Drosophila melanogaster: one gene and its partner. The protein of the gene in region 2 purifies or fractionates together with the protein of the main gene of each other region. This does not show direct contact. Each region holds a gene or a part of one and is shown on either strand. Other genes may lie near its edges.

What was found.
Region 1: the proteins of Lrpprc2 (region 2) and SLIRP2 purify together in Drosophila melanogaster (affinity purification with mass spectrometry, with the first as the bait; 2 studies listed by BioGRID). This does not show direct contact.

The regions. Positions count from the first base shown.
Region 1 is NT_033777.3:8,649,283-8,652,036, reverse strand, and holds SLIRP2 (SRA stem-loop interacting RNA binding protein 2), read right to left. Parts: upstream 954-2,754; 5' UTR 921-953; coding exon 645-920; 3' UTR 544-644; downstream 1-543. Other genes in the region: Dhod (dihydroorotate dehydrogenase), read left to right, coding at 1-524; Mkk4 (MAP kinase kinase 4), read left to right, coding at 1,526-1,556, 1,718-2,559, 2,618-2,754.
Region 2 is NC_004354.4:1,456,409-1,462,224, reverse strand, and holds Lrpprc2 (Leucine-rich pentatricopeptide repeat containing 2), read left to right. Parts: upstream 1-1,607; 5' UTR 1,608-1,666; coding exon 1,667-3,962; intron 3,963-4,023; coding exon 4,024-4,946; 3' UTR 4,947-5,050; downstream 5,051-5,816. Other genes in the region: Ns3 (nucleostemin 3), read left to right, coding at 1-131; CG14787 (uncharacterized protein), read left to right, coding at 580-1,362; CG14785 (uncharacterized protein), read left to right, coding at 5,279-5,816.

The DNA of each region.
Region 1 (2,754 bases), on a different chromosome or scaffold from region 2:
AGCTAAGAGAGCTCCTGGAACAGGTCAACGACACGAAATCCTCCCTGGATAAGAACAAGAATGTGCCTATACTCTTGAAACTTTCGCCGGATCTATCTTTGGACGACATGAAGGACATCGTGTGGGTAATCAAGCGCAAGAAGAGCCGCGTGGATGGCCTGATCGTTTCAAACACCACGGTGTCGCGGGAAAACATCGAAAAGAACAAGCTGGCCGAGGAAACTGGCGGATTAAGTGGTCCTCCACTCAAGGCCCGCTCCACAGAGATGATCGCCCAGATGTACCAGCTCACCGATGGAAAGATTCCCATCATAGGCGTCGGCGGAGTGGCTTCCGGCTATGATGCATACGAAAAGATCGAAGCTGGAGCTTCCTACGTCCAAATCTACACGGCTTTAGTGTACGAGGGACCCGCTCTTGTGGAAGACATTAAGGCGGAGCTGTCGGCGCTGATCACACGGCTGGGTCACACTAATGTTGCGGACGTGGTGGGCACCAACAGCAAGTTCTACTTGCCCAAATGAATCAAAGATGCCACGATTTGAAGCAAGTGCTGCATTCATTTGTGTAAAACTAAGCTGTTAACAAACATTTCTCATGCTTTTCCTTTGGTCTAACCAATAAATCATTAAATTCTTCATTGATTAACTCTGAGGACTTTCATTCGCCCGCTGGACTGTGAGCACTCGTCCATCGAGGAAATGGGTGTTCTGGTTGCTGGCGCTGTTGAAGGCATCCCGTTGGCTGAAAACCACAAAGCCATAGTGCTTGGACAGGCCCAGTTGCCGGTCAAAGACCACCTCCGCGTTGGCCACGTGCCCGTACTTTGAGAAGTAGGTCCGCAGTTCCTTGCTACCTATCGTCCATGGCAGGTTGCCGACGAACAATTTGTAGCTGCTGCGAACAAATCCGCTGGACATGATTATGTATGTTTTAATTTTCTGGTTTTAAATCACTGGTGATTGTGCATTGATTTTAAGGTGGCGCAGATTGGTTTATGTAGGCGTCGACGTCACTTATTGACGAAATGTAACTTTTCAACTAGTAAAAACTTTAACAAAGCTGGGATTAATTTGTGAAAAATAGAAACTCAAATCTCTTGGTTTTAAAGAAATAATTATTTATAGGTGACATTTTTATATTCGTTTTATTACCCACCTCACTACTTTTGCACCTTGCAGGACTGCTTATCGCAAGCTAGTGCGCATACTATCGATGGCTATCGATTGGCCGCAAATAATCAATGTTTCATCTCTAGCTCTTTTAAGTTTTGGTTGCTATTTATGTAAATGTTTAGCGAAATTGCGGAAAAAGTGCATATCAGTGCGCTCGATTGCTGAAAAAGTAGTTGCGTTGCAAACGGCGAAGAGCCCATCAAAGGCGGCCCAGTAACCAGGCGATCGGAGGGCCAAAGGAGCATCAAGTCGACGTGTTGTATTCGGGGCGCGGCGCCTGCAGAAAACGGACAAAACATCCTTAGGACAGCCACACAAAGGCGCATCGATACTTTCAGCCACCACACACAATGGCCGAACGACCGAAAAATTTGTTTGCAAGTGAGTTACCCCTTTGGTCTCGAACCGCCCACGCAGGTCATACACATGCAGCCGAAGAGGACCACATACTCGCTGGGTGACGCATAGTTTGGAAATCTGGTGCAGCGGCGATAAGCCATCTATGAAGCCTCCTAAATTCTCCCATTTCCCACACATTCCAGCCGGATCCAGTCGCTCCCGCAATCCCCCGGATCAGCTAAGCCTGAATAATCTTAGCATACGCCATCCGCCCTCGTCCACGTCGTCCACTTCTTCGGGATCCACCTCCTCGGGCTCAAGTTCCTCATCACAGCACAACCATGTGACCCGCTGTTTTGGTGCCCAGCAGCCACAGCAAACCCCGCCGGTGGCCAGCAGTCAAGTGCCACCGGTGCCGGCAGCATCGAGCAGCAGCGCTGCCGATCGTCACCGGGAGCGAATTCGCCAGCAGGCCTGTGGCAAGCTACAGTTTGGTGAGGGCGGCGCTAATACACACACATTTACTTCAGACGATCTCGAGGATGAGGGCGAAATTGGACGCGGTGCATTTGGGGCAGTCAACAAGATGACCTTTAAGAAATTGGACAAGGTGATGGCCGTCAAGCGCATTCGATCCACCGTAGACGAGAAGGAACAGAAGCAGCTGCTCATGGATCTCGAGGTGGTCATGAAGTCCAACGAGTGCATTTACATTGTTCAGTTCTATGGGGCGCTTTTCAAGGAGGGTGACTGCTGGATTTGTATGGAGCTGATGGACACCTCTTTGGACAAGTTTTACAAGTACATCTACGAAAAGCAGCAGCGCCACATTCCAGAGTCTATACTGGCTAAGATAACAGTGGCCACGGTCAATGCGCTGAACTATTTGAAGGAGGAGCTAAAGATTATCCATCGGGATGTGAAACCGAGCAACATTCTGTTGCACCGTCGCGGAGACATAAAGCTGTGCGATTTTGGTATTTCGGGTCAGCTGGTCGACTCTATTGCCAAGACCAAGGATGCGGGCTGCAGGCCCTACATGGCGGTAATGATTGTCATTTGATTTCACAACATTTTTACCGCAATTGTATGCATTTGTGCAGCCGGAGCGCATTGATCCAGAACGTGCCAAGGGCTACGATGTACGAAGCGATGTTTGGTCATTGGGCATCACATTAATGGAGGTGGCGACTGGTAATTTCCCCTATCGTAAATGGGACTCTGTTTTCGAGCAGTTGTG
Region 2 (5,816 bases):
CTAACGTGCGCCTGGCCAACGACGGGTCCCTAGTAGCCGGCAATGATCCGGCGGCCAAGCCCTGGCGTCATGTGAAGAAGGAGAGGCGCGAGAAGCTGCGCAAAAAGTTCTCGCACCTGGACGAGCACTGATTGTAGCCCATTAGTTATTTATTCCGAAGGGTGTGTCTAAGAGGCACTTGTACATTTTAAGCATTAAACCTACGTATATACATATATATTAAAGTCCCCCCGACTTCGAGAGTTTGAAGGCCCACAATCTCAGACTGAAAGAGTTATATTGCGCAACTAGCAGATTGAGAGAAACATAGATAAGCCATCTGATGGCCCAGCCTGGACACAACGATTAACACAAAGATAGCATATATTTAGCATACACACCAATGAAAGCAAACTGTTGTTGGAATGGCGCCCCCAATTGAGTTTAAGAGATGCGTGAATGGAAGGTAATTTCGAGATGCGGAGGAGCGCAGTTGCGCGGAGAAAAGAAGCCTGCACTTTGACCGCGTGATAAGCGCAGATGCTTACGGCTCTTGTCTTCTATCACTTGGCCACAGTCTCTATCACGCAGTCTTCAGCGATGGCCACAAACGAGAGCTGCAAGCACTTCAGGGAGCTGGTCGTCGAACAGCGTTCTGGGCTGCTCCACATACGCTTCCAGCGGCGCTGGCAACGCCGAACCCTCTACGAGCTGATGCGCGCCCTGGACCTGGCGAGTGCAGACGCCGCCGTTAAGGTGGTCGTGCTCTCGGGCGAGTTTTCTGCAGCATGTGGCGGTGAGATGGAACCGTTGGCTCTCAAACAGGGTCTGGAGAATAGGAGTAGGCGTACCGCTTCCCACGAAGAAGCTGTGGGCAGTGGTGATGCCGAGGAGCAGTACATCCATGAGAAGGCGGCCAATTTTGTGATGCGCTCGCTGGCCAAGAAGCTGCTTGTGCACCGCAAACTCCTAGTGGCTTTTGTGGAGAGGCAGTGCGTCGGTCTGGGCCTGAGCGTGTGCAGCCTGTGCGATCTGGTCTTCGCAACGGAGTTATCTGCCTTTGTGCCCGCTTTCTCGCACCTGGATCCCTGCACCAAGGTGGGTCCCGGCTGGACTGTGCCACACGTCCACTGGCTGCTTCGTCTGGGCGATCAAGCGAGCTCCAGCATTGCCCTCCAGTGTGGCCTTGTGGCCAGTGTGGTGCGAGAGCCGCAGGAGTTTTGGCACCGCGTCGACCAATACTTGCGCTTGCCTTCCGCCTCCCTGTTGGCGACAAAGCGCCTCCTGTTTCGTCCCTGGCAGGACTCCCTCTTGGCCGAATTGCGCGAGGAGGGCACTCCGCTGGCTGCGCAGCGACGCCGCTTGGCCAGATCCTCGCTGTAGGGTTGCGCTTCCAGATCCGTTGAATCGATTAAGTAAATAAATAGCGATTATAAAATAATGACATGTCCCCATGGTATTTCTTTTCATTCCTTTCATTGGAGCTCCATGACTTAACTTAAACTTTAAATCAAAATCTGCAACGGAAACGGGTATGCATATACAGATGGGCAGCACTGTTTTCGATATCTTTCGACTGGAAGGCACAGCTGATTGCCGGCGCGTGTTGTTTTTTTTTTGTTGCTCGCCGCAAAACTGCGAAAGTAAAATCTCGTAATTTTGGGGAAGATTAATTAACTTGGGCAAAATGCAGCGAGCACGACTGTTGCGGAACGTGTGGCTCTGCAGGCAGCGCTTGGGCCATCTGCCAGGACGCAGCGCTTCCTCCGCCAGCCTGGCATTCCGTTATGCAACGAAGCCTGCGGCGCCAGCGGTGCCGTTCTCGCTGCTCCAGATGCGATCCCTGGGAACGGGTGGCGTCCTCAGTGCGGTGGAGCGAAGAAGCCGGCGCCCCGCCTCCTCCTCTGAAAAACCGAAAGCCAGCGTGGCGGATGCGTGGACACAGCTGGAGGCGTACTACCGGCAGCACGATCTGATCAACTTTGAGCACTGCCAGCGCCTGCTGGAGCTCCTGCAGGAGTCTGCGTCGCCGCTAGGAGTCGGCATCGAAGAGGTGCACTTCCTTCTAGGGTCCTGTGTGCCCGAACTGCTTCCTGCTCAGAGCAGCCAGGAGCGTCTTCAGCTCTTCAAGGGACTCTGGGCTCAACTGATCAAGTTGGGCCAGCCCACGCTGGCACATTACCACACGAAGCTCCAGGTGCTGCGCCAGAACCGTTTGCCTCTGACTGACTATCGCTCGTTGCTGGCGGAGATTGCCGTCTACCATGGAGCAGCCGATTCCACCTTGTACGGCGCTCTTTTGGACGTGGCCGGCGCCGCCGGAAACATGCGCATGGCCACCGAGATTTTGTCGGAGATGCGCGAGCGCAGCCTCGCCCTCACGGAGCACAACTTTCACGCCCTGCTTTTGGGCCACGCCCGCAGCGGTGATCTGCCCGGGGCGGAGTCCGTCCTAGCCAGCATGCGGGCCGCAGGAATACAGCAAGGCAGCAGCACTCAGGCCATTTGGTTCGAGGCTCTGCTGGAAAACGGTCAGTTGGCACAGGCCAAGGAGCTGCTGCAGGTGGAGCACGGATTCACCGCCCCTCAGCTGCTCCAGATGCTGCGGGGTCTGCTCGCCAGCAAGGATGTCGACACGGATCTAATCCAACTGCTTGTCAAGGAACTGCCCCGCGAGTTTCTAACAGGTATCGACCTGCCGCCCGCCATCAGAAGCCTGTGCATTCAGCTGGTGCACCAAGGACGCACCGAAGTCGTCATACAGCTCGTAGGTGCGTTGCCCGCTCCGAAGTTCGAGTTGCAGAATCAGAACGTGGATGAGTACGGTGCACTTCTGCTGCAGGAGTTCTTCCGCGCCCAAGTTCCGTTGGACCAAACAATCCAGTTCGCCGGTCAACTAGTGCAGCGGAACCAGAACGTCCGCGCCCTGCATTTGGTGGCGGAGTTGGCCCTTCGCCGTCAGCCATCATCCGCGCTACGCTGCCTGGAGGATCTATCTGCAGCCGGCGAGGAACTTCGTCCGCATTACTTCTGGCCCCTGATCTTGCACCATTACCGGCGGGAGGGCGAAAGCGGCATGCTACGCCTGGTTTCTGAAATGCGGCGCCTGCGCGTTGAGTGCGACGAGGAAACGTTGCGGCACTACCTGTTTCCCCACCTGCGCCAAACCCTGGTGCAGCCCTTGGAGGCCGTGAAGGCACTTGAATCGGCGGGGGTCAAGCCTTCCCAGACCCTGTGCCCGGTTGTGAGCCACTTGCTGCAGCAGCATCAGATGTCCGAGGTGCTGGACTTGCTTGATCGGTATCCGACACGCTTGGACCTGGCCACGCTGCTCCAACCACTTTCTTCGCTGGCGGTCAATGCCCGTGCCACGAAGCGTTTCGAGGTATTTGCCAAAGTGATCCAAGCCCTGCAGCAGAAGGCACTCAAACGGGGAGAAGATTTTGTGGGCTCCTTGCTGCTGCAAATGACTGGACCTCAGACGCGTCTGCGCCAGGATGCCACCTCGTTGCGACGTTTTCTGCACGAACTGAGACGCCTAGAGCTACAAATCTCACCCGCTGCCTCCGAAGCTCTACTCTCCGTGGTCCGGCACGCCACTGATGACGTTGACCTCATCCAGGATCTGGCCAAAACGCTGCAGAAGATGAAAAACCCACAGCTCGCCCTGCCAGCTGACACGGTCTCGCTCCACGGAGGCTTCATCAAGCACCCGCGCGACATGAGCATAGACGAGCTCGAGTGCCACCTAGTCGAGCTGGAGTCCAAGCAGCTGAACCCGCGAGGCGTGTTGCGTCGCTTGCTGCAGCTCTCGGTGCGCAGTGGGCGCTTGGAGCGCGCACAGCAGCTGTTGGCCAAGTGCCAAGTTCTGAAGGTTCAGGAAAGCGCAGGCATGATGGCCTCCATATTCGACCTACACATCAAGCTGCGCGACTTGCCGCGCGCCCAGGAGAGCTTGGAGCGACTGAGCAGCATGTATCCAGGTACCTAACAACTTACTACTAGATGTGAACTGCATTAATCCGCATACCGTTCTCTCTTAAGCCTTTCAGATTGACGAGCACAAAGTGATCGACTATGCCGCCCTCCTGGTCCAAGGCCAGCAGCTGGAGGCCGCAAAGCAGCTGCTCCAGCGACGCGCGGAGCAGCATAAGGTTGTCGGTGGCGACTATGTGATGAAGAACGTATGGCAATTGCTGACCAACGTGGGCCAGCTGGCCGCCTCTTCACATGCAGGTGGCGAGAGCTCCAAACAACTTAACCAGACTCGCGAGTGGTTGGACTTCCTCAGGGGTCTGGGCTACTGTCAATCGCAAAATGCCCTACTGGGACCAGTGGTCCGCGAGTGGCTGTTGAAGGGCAACTTGGACGCTGCGGTGGCCGAGTTTCAGCGACTGGCTAACACTCACAAGCACACGCCTCTGCAGTTCGAGCTCTTGTCCCTGCTGGTGCGACTGGGCAACGGGGACGAGCAGGAGCTGACCCGTTTTCCCGGCGTCACGGCCGAGTCCGCGCAGCAGCACCTAGCGGTGGTTACTGCGACTGTGAGTCGCATCCACGGAGCGGCCAATATGAACAGCGCTCTGCTGCTCGCCCTGGCCGAATCCGGAAAGGAGACACAGCTGCGCCGGCTGATCATCAACCCAGAGTTCCGCATCAACCACGAGCTCCTCGTGAAGAATTGCGAGCACTTGGGACAGGAGGGCGCTGTGCGGACGCTCCTGCGGCTGGCGCGCGGAGTGAGGGGTGTCCAGCGGACCATAGACGAGCAGAAGATCTACGACCTCCTGTTGGCCCAGTTCTGCCGTAGCAACGACTACGAGGCGGCGTTGGATCTCTTTGAGCGCTTGGAGGCCGACGACGAGCTGAAGGTGTCGCATGAGTTCCTTCGCAACCTTGTGCAGCTGCTGCAGGTGAACCAGGTTGAAATTCCCAGTACAATCGCCCTGCGCGCCCACGTTAGATAGCCGGGCGACGAGATAGATAGATCGTCGCTCTTATCCTTAGTTATACACTTGGTATGTATGTACACACATAAATTAGTGCAGTAAATACGAGACGGTATACCTGCAAGTCTGAAAGATCTTTTATAGCTTCTGGGTGTCCTGGTGCCACGTCTAGTAGGCCTGGCTTTTGAAACCTATTGTCATCTGGAATCTGTGCTCCGAAACGGTCACAAAGTTTTCACTCGTAGCATACAACAGTCTCCTAACAGCTTCTCCGAAACCCACTCCCAATCTAAATTTTAGTTTTTATTCGCGTTCAATCTGTGCAAGTTGCAACCCCTCCCTATCCAACCATGAAGCGGCTGTCCCGACGTCCGGTCTCCGATGAGCAGAAGGCCCAGATGGGCAACCAGATTCATGAGCAGGGCGCAATAGAGGTATTCATGTCGGTGGCCACCGTCTCGCCGCTACTCCGAACGCGGGTCCTTCCGCAGCTAAAGGATCAACAGGATCAGCTGAAGGACAAAAAGCAGGACCGCAGGCCGAAACCGGAGCCAGAGAAACTCGAGAGCGGCGCTCAGGGCGACGCCGGTTCCGCTTCCTCGACGTCGGCCCACGCTGTAAAGCTCTTGCCAATCGAGGGAGATCCAGCCAAGCTGAAGGCGCTGACCAGCCGCCAGCAAATTGCCAGCCTGCTCAATCACCTCGGCGACGGCGCAGAGGGCGATGGCGAGGCCAAGCAGATCGTGATGGAGCTGCTCGGCAGCGGGGTGCAGCCGCACTCGGCCATCGAGCGCGTTTCCGAACAGCTGTTGCACGTGCTGCGGGAGCAGACTCTGATGGAGGCCGGCATATTCGTCGGCAATGAGCGGTATCGCTTCTTTAAGGGCG